2 linked regions of the Oryza sativa Japonica Group genome follow. The protein of the gene in region 2 interacts with the protein of the main gene of each other region in a pairwise test. Links are inferred from orthologs where the notes say so. Each region holds a gene or a part of one and is shown on either strand. Other genes may lie near its edges.

Region 1 (3,100 bases), on a different chromosome or scaffold from region 2:
GTGGCATGTGAGGAATACCAAAACTTCGTGGAACATGTAGCTAGTATTGTTCTTGGTCTAGGTGGCATGTGAGAAACATAAAAACTTTCGTGACGCACTGTGAATGCCCTGACAGGATCGGGCGGAAGGCCAAGCCGGCATGATCGCGTGCGACACTGCGCGGCAAGGCCGGGCGCAGTGAAAGTCGGGGTCATGCCGCCACGGCCACGATGGAAGATAGGCGGGGCTGGCGCTGCGGTGGGGATTGGAGGTAATACGGAGAGAGGGAAGAGAAATGGCGGACTGATATATGAAGCTAGGCCGCTAGGGGTATTTCTAACCTCTCACCCTATTTCTCTCTTATTCAACGAAAAATATATATTTTAACAAGTACAATATCCGATAACAAATATGTGTCTTCCCTCAAGGTGATATATCGACTCCTCGCTTGGCTCGAACCACAGGTCTCGGCCGAAGGGGACATCGCCGTTCACAGCCACCCTCCAGTCCGTGACGTCCATAGTCTGTTTACAAGGCTGTTCTCGAATAACGCAGTATGCAAGCATATCTTGGATCTAAATCAATTTAACACATAATTATGTAGTATAACTTATAATCATACCAGCAAACACACTCTCTAATGTTTCCTATTCCTAAAATTGAATGGGTAGAAGTGAACTCCCATATGTTAAAGAAAAATTGAAAAATAAAAATCTCCATGAATGCAACAAACATATCATGGACCTAAACTACTCTAAAAATCTATAATGTGTAAGTTACAAACTTGCGGTCATGACTGCTGAATCGGCAAAAGGTTCATAAAACATCCGCAGTACAATGGGATTATGGGAAGTAAATATTAATCAACCTAGCAACAGATGGACATGCAAGTTGCACTCTCAAGGAATAAATCTGAACACAAAAACAGGGCTCTGGAAATCGATAAACTTGTAAGATCCTTCAAGGGAGTTTAAATATAATGCTTCACGAGGTTCCTCGCTTACTCCACTCTGCATGGCGTACTCCAATGCCATTTCATAATCAACCTGGTTGTTGTTTCATGTTAAAACCATCAAAAATCAGTGTAAAAAAAACTCAAAACGGTAGATAGTAGCAGGACATTTGGGACCTAGTTTCCATCAGGATTCATGGCCTAACCCCGTTAGCAATTTGAAACAGAATTAACCATTGAAATGTCATCAGGGTTCTAGGATTTTAACCATTGAGATGCCAAAATGCATTTCAGAAATAATAGTCATTTTGAACCAGATGTCTATTAGAGCAAATGCTGCTGCTAGTTCGTAAAAGAAAGGTGAAAGACTCTAGTCATGCTTTGCTATTGACCAGAACAAGACATGCGTTGCTACTGACACTAAATTAAAACAGAGCAAGCATTTGAGCATTTTTCTTACCTGTTCAACATGTTGTGTTAAGCAATCCCTAAAGGTCATCTCTGTCACCTCCTCAGAGTTTACTTTCTCAAGGAGTTCCTCATCTTCCTTATCATAACGTGGCCTCTTTGGGGGAGACTCATCTGCAATTTCTCCCAGAGTCTCCATAATTGCCCTCGCAACATCAGGAATGTATCTGCAAATGGAAAAGAGAGCACGTAAATATATCATATACGTACTTGCAAAGTGCTTCCTGTCATGTGATAAAGCACTCCGAATTAATATTTGTCCCTAACTAGATCTATGAATAAATCATGAGTGCTGCCACTGCAGAAACGCACATGCACGTGCCAAAAAAATCTAGCCTGACAAATGAATACTGCCAAGGTTGTGCGAAGCTATTATTTGTCCATACTATCCATTGTGAACCTGATATCAATGATGCCACCAAAACCTTACCCAACATTCAACAAGCATCACGGATATGTCCTTAAGCAAAATTACAGATTCAGATTTCAGAATAACATAAAAAAATTCAAAATAACAACAGTTTGAACCCATGCTAATAATAATAATAGACATTACCATATGCCAAATATTTCAGCATAGATATACGGGTGGAGAAATCACCTGTTTAGGTTCCTTTTCCTGTCCTGCCGTTCACGAGCCTGTAGTTTCTTTACTATCTTTGACTTCAGTTGAAGACAACACTGCTTAAGGGCTGACTGAAGGGGGAAAAGGATCATTATTACATGACCTCACAGAGAATAAATATGGTATGTGTGGATCTACCTGAACAGCAGATGCTATTTCGGTTATGTCATCCCCAATGTACTCTTTTCCAGTTCCTTTAAAAGGTATCTTTGTACTTACAATGCTAACAAAGACACCAATCTTGTCCTGCTGTTGATTTATTTTGTAGCTGCTCCAACTAGAAGACAAGGAAAGGCAAGAGTTATAAATGTGAGCCAACATCTAGAACTACAGTTGAAGTGAATCTGCGAATACAAAAGAAATCTTACTTGATTCTTTTTAAAGCAGTTCTTGTGATGACATCAGCACCTTGTTCAAAGAGAAGTGGGATTCGGTTCGCATATCTAAAAATGTTTAGACCCTGAATACAACAGATATGAGAATTCCAATCGTCGGTATGCTTGTCAGCAAGGAAAATGCAGGACATAGATGCGATCCCTCATAATTGGGACTTAGTGCATGATATTAGTAAAAAAAGTAACATGTTTACTCATGTGGACTAATATTCATTAACTGAATCAGTAAAATGGAACAACTCTGGGGATATTGGATATGCAGGTAACTTTAAAAATCTAATCTGAGCCAACAAAATCTCAGATAATAGCCAAGATTGACTATTCTTCTTATATTTTCAAGGCAATTGAATTTGGTAATCCCTTCCAAACCCCCCCCCCACACACCCCCACCCCAAAAAAAAAAAATTGCTCACTGCAACTTCATAATGCCATAATTTTTTTCATTCCAAAGTGAGTCATTATTTAATGAAAAACCAGACCCTTCTAGGAGTTTGATTCAATATAAAAATAAAATCAGGTAATGAGGCTAATCCAGATATCTATATCTATACTACTTTAAATGATGTTAGTGGTGGTGTCTGAGTCTGCCTCGAACACCACAAGCTGACATTTTCGGCTATAAGGTCTCCACACATGATTGATCCTGGCATTGTTATCTGACCATATGCCTTATGGAAATAG
Region 2 (4,418 bases):
ATACGTTAACTAACTGCGGTTCAATTTGTTTTTTCATACGAGATGTAGAAGTTGAATTTGAACTTGCATGTTTGTGGAGTGTTATATCACATGTTAATACACATTCTCTATTTTTTTTAAATTTTTTCTTAACCATTTAAGTGACATGCAAAGAATGATTTCCCGTTCTTCTAACTCGTTGTTCGTCATTTGTTCCAAGTTTAGGTTTGTGTTCATAGATACATTTAAATTTGAATCTTCACAGTTTATACAAAATTAGGAGAAACAATGGGAAAAAAAAGAAAAAGAAGTTACAATAATACTCCTATACGACAAGAACCTGTCGATTTTGTTTATCAATGGCTGCAGGCAATTTGACCGCAGCAGACATCGTGAGTGCGACTGCCTTCGTCATAGTGATGATCTTCCTGGTCAATTTATTAGTTTGTTTGATGACAGACGCCTTGAATAATTACTGGATTCGTTCTGCCAAGGAAGAAGAAGCATCACCACCAGCTGGCAAGTTCTCTCTCCTGTTTACTATTATTTTTCCTGTTTAGTCTAGTAACAAATTAACTAATTGCTGGTTGATTGTTTTGATCGTAAAATATGTGTTGCAAATTGACAATGCAGGTCATGTACGAGGAAATGTTGCTGCTGTGAAGGCAGCGCAGATCGTGCCAACTCAGTACGCAGATCAGAGGATTGCTGTCTGAGTTCTATACGCCGGCTAGTGTAGAAGCTTGGCCACTGCATTGGCCATTAATTTCCTGGGTGTTATATATGTGTCATGTGAACCCACTCTACCTAAGTATTTACAGCTAGATATATAGCTTGATCTGGCTAAATTGGCTCAGTGGCCAATTAATTAAGTGTGTACTCTTTATTGTCTCGTCCGAACACAACTACTTGTATGTCCAGTTGAAAACAGTACGTGGCCATCGTGCCTTGCACCAAGGTATATATTGTTGGGTATTTGGTTTTCTCTCCACGCTTGTATATATTGGAGTTATATCACAAGCTAGTGTGTATCTCACCTTGCAAATTTGATGTTATCTGAAGCCACAGAATTTGAAATAACAACAATGCAACTATATGAGGCATTTCATAAGAAAAAGCTGCTCTTATTAAAATTTATTCATTCCCCATAGAATAATCCACAAATATTACATATATACAGCTGTGCTTTTGATATGTTTTCTGTGAGATATGTATTTGCCAATTATCCCCATATCTCTTTGAGCGTGTGCCATGACGCACATTCGCATGTGCGTGAGCGTGGCACTAATGTGTAGCTGTATGTATATCCGTGTCTTCCGTGTAATTGAGAAAAAAAATAAATCAACTTATTTTTAAAAGGGTCAACACACCATCCCCATATCCATGTTTTTGAAAATCTTTGGTGGACTTTCTTAATGTTTTTTCACAGCGATTTAAGTTTGTAAAATTGTGCCATGTCTTCCCTAAAAAAAAAATCCCTCAAAAAAAATTGTGCCATGTCAATGAAACGCTGACCGAGTCATCAGATATGGCTTATGTGCCTCATTGCTTGCCAAAGATTTATTATAAACTGTATGATAACAAAATAATTTGTGTATAAAAATTTTATATATGGGTTCTTAGCAACTTAAAAATCCATATAAAATAAAGTACGTTAAAAATATCTTAAAATTAACTTTAAAATAATGTTTGAAAATTCAAAATTTAGCTTCTAACACTTTTTAGGTGTACCGATGGGCTCAGAAGTTTCGGCTCACCTCACCACTTCACCAACCTATCTGGCCCGCTCACTACCGGCACAATCCTTCTCTTCCGGACTCTCCCCAACCACGCCGCAGCAACACGCGCCCAGACTCTAGTCGAGTTCAGCACTTCAGCCCCGCCGCCGTCTCCGCCGCTCAAAGCGCCCAAACCAAAATCCCCTAGATTTCCCCACGCCCCCGCCTCCAAATCTCTCGACATGTCGGAGAAGAAGCGCCGCGGCGGGGCAGGCGCGGGGGCCGCGTCGGGCTCCGCCTCCAAGAAGCCGCGGGTCTCCACGGCGGCGTCGTACGCCGAGTCGCTCCGCTCGAAGCTCCGCCCCGACGCCTCCATCCTCGCCACCCTCCGCTCCCTGGCCTCCGCCTGCTCCAAATCCAAGCCCGCGGGGTCGTCGTCGTCGTCGTCGTCCGCCTCGAAGGCGCTCGCAGCCGAGGACGACCCGGCCGCCAGCTACATCGTGGTGGCCGACCAGGACTCCGCCTCCGTCACCTCCCGCATCAACCGCCTCGTGCTCGCCGCGGCGCGCAGCATCCTGTCCGGCCGGGGCTTCTCCTTCGCGGTGCCCTCCCGCGCCGCCTCCAACCAGGTCTACCTCCCGGACCTCGACCGCATCGTGCTCGTCCGCCGCGAGTCCGCCAGGCCCTTCGCCAACGTCGCCACCGCGCGGAAGGCCACCATCACCGCGCGCGTCCTCTCCTTGGTCCACGCCGTCCTCCGCAGGGGGATCCACGTCACCAAGCGTGACCTCTTCTACACCGACGTCAAGCTCTTCGGCGACCAGGCGCAGTCCGACGCCGTCCTCGACGACGTCTCCTGTATGCTCGGCTGCACCCGCTCCTCCCTCCACGTCGTCGCGTCCGAGAAGGGCGTCGTCGTCGGGCGCCTCACCTTCGCCGACGACGGCGACCGGATCGACTGCACGCGCATGGGCGTCGGCGGGAAGGCCATCCCGCCCAACATCGACAGGGTCTCAGGCATCGAGAGCGACGCTCTCTTCATCTTGCTGGTGGAGAAGGACGCCGCGTTCATGCGTCTCGCCGAGGACCGGTTCTACAACCGCTTCCCGTGCATCATCTTGACGGCGAAGGGGCAGCCGGATGTCGCCACACGGCTGTTCTTGCGGCGGCTTAAGGTGGAGCTGAAGCTGCCGGTGCTGGCATTGGTGGACTCCGACCCATATGGGCTGAAGATCTTGTCAGTGTACATGTGTGGTTCCAAGAACATGTCATATGACAGTGCCAACCTGACAACACCGGATATCAAGTGGCTCGGAGTGCGGCCAAGCGATCTGGACAAGTATCGGGTGCCGGAGCAGTGCCGGCTTCCGATGACTGATCACGATATCAAGGTGGGGAAGGAGCTGCTTGAGGAGGACTTTGTGAAGCAGAATGAAGGATGGGTGAAGGAGCTGGAGACGATGTTGCGGACGAGGCAGAAGGCTGAGATACAGGCTCTCAGTTCATTTGGTTTCCAGTATCTCACTGAGGTCTATCTACCTCTCAAGCTGCAGCAACAGGACTGGATTTGAGGACCCTTTCTATGCTAGATGAATAGGTGAATTTTCATGCATTTATTTGACTACTGCGCTGTGCACTAGATTTATTTATTTAAAATAAGGTATTTTTGAGAATCAGTATTCCCATGGGCCATGGCTAGTCGAAGTCAAAAGGTAGCTCCAAAATGTTCAGTCAAAATGCATGGTTAACTAATTTCTATGTTAGATTAGGTTCTTTATGTTAGGTTCTTTAGGAAGTATTGCACACCCCTGACTGAGAGTTTGTAGGATCAAATTGATAAGGGTGACCAAGATTGCCTCGTAGTACCGTCAGATGTGGAAATCTTCTTCTAGCATTATGTATTTGAACAGCAGCTGCTGTGTGTATTCACTAATTTTTAAGAACATGGAAATGCTTACTTCAGCATGTATTCAGAGCAGGTATAGTGACAGGAAATTCAAATGTTACTGTGATATTACTCATGTATCCTGAGCATGTATTCAAAACAATGTATTCCAGCATTTATGTGCCAACTCCATGTTTGGATCAATGTAGAATTGGAGCTGTTCACATGTGTAACTGAGCACATCATGGCATGTTTTTAAGAGGCACAACAATACAGCCATGGGCATCTTGGACATTTGTTTTGCAATCAGGTTTCAAATCTTGAGCGAACAAACTTGTTACAAATCTATATTAGGCAATGGTGCTCAAAATCCACAGACAGTGGAGTATTTCACTGTACTCGGTCAGCATGTTTTTCAGTTTCCATGGAATTGCGGGGATTGCAAGTTTCCAGCAATAACCTAATAACTTTAATTCTGATGTTTTACCGTATCTGGATGGCCGTCCACAAATTCCTTCTTGTGAAACCGTGTTGGGTTGATGTCACTGAGTAGCACCAGCCAACCTGTACATCTGTATACACTACCTTATCTTAGGATGACTCTGCAAAAGGTTGAGGAACTGTCACTGCACAGTCCTCACAGCTTTCCTCTTCAACCAATGATTCAGAGAGTTGATCGGGATCTTTATCATCCCCTGCGGTCTCCTGGAAAAATGTTTAGAAGCTAGATCTAAATGACTCCTAGAACGAGCTGGAACTGTGGGTTTGGACGAAGCCGGGCGACTTCCAGGTCCAATTAAAACCTCAAGACCCAACTCATCCGTCAGAACAGCAAC

What was found.
Region 1: the proteins of SPO11-3 (region 2) and TOP6B interact in binary tests that used the Arabidopsis thaliana proteins (3 or more experiments, as listed by UniProt). The link is inferred for Oryza sativa Japonica Group from reciprocal best matches to the Arabidopsis thaliana genes RHL2 and TOP6B.

What each region holds. Positions count from the first base shown.
Region 1 is NC_089043.1:10,208,992-10,212,091, reverse strand, and holds the end of TOP6B (DNA topoisomerase 6 subunit B), read right to left. Parts: intron 2,485-3,100; coding exon 2,393-2,484; intron 2,302-2,392; coding exon 2,163-2,301; intron 2,096-2,162; coding exon 2,001-2,095; intron 1,567-2,000; coding exon 1,392-1,566; intron 1,026-1,391; coding exon 879-1,025; 3' UTR 538-878; downstream 1-537. UniProt on the Arabidopsis thaliana protein: Component of the DNA topoisomerase VI involved in chromatin organization and progression of endoreduplication cycles. Relaxes both positive and negative superturns and exhibits a strong decatenase activity. The B subunit binds ATP.
Region 2 is NC_089037.1:9,846,089-9,850,506, forward strand, and holds SPO11-3 (topoisomerase 6 subunit A3), read left to right. Parts: upstream 1-1,608; 5' UTR 1,609-1,939; coding exon 1,940-3,268; 3' UTR 3,269-3,708; downstream 3,709-4,418. Other genes in the region: cysteine-rich receptor-like protein kinase 25, read left to right, coding at 349-498, 613-695; pentatricopeptide repeat-containing protein At5g02830, chloroplastic, read right to left, coding at 4,206-4,418. UniProt on the Arabidopsis thaliana protein: Component of the DNA topoisomerase VI involved in chromatin organization and progression of endoreduplication cycles. Relaxes both positive and negative superturns and exhibits a strong decatenase activity. Involved in cell-elongation processes.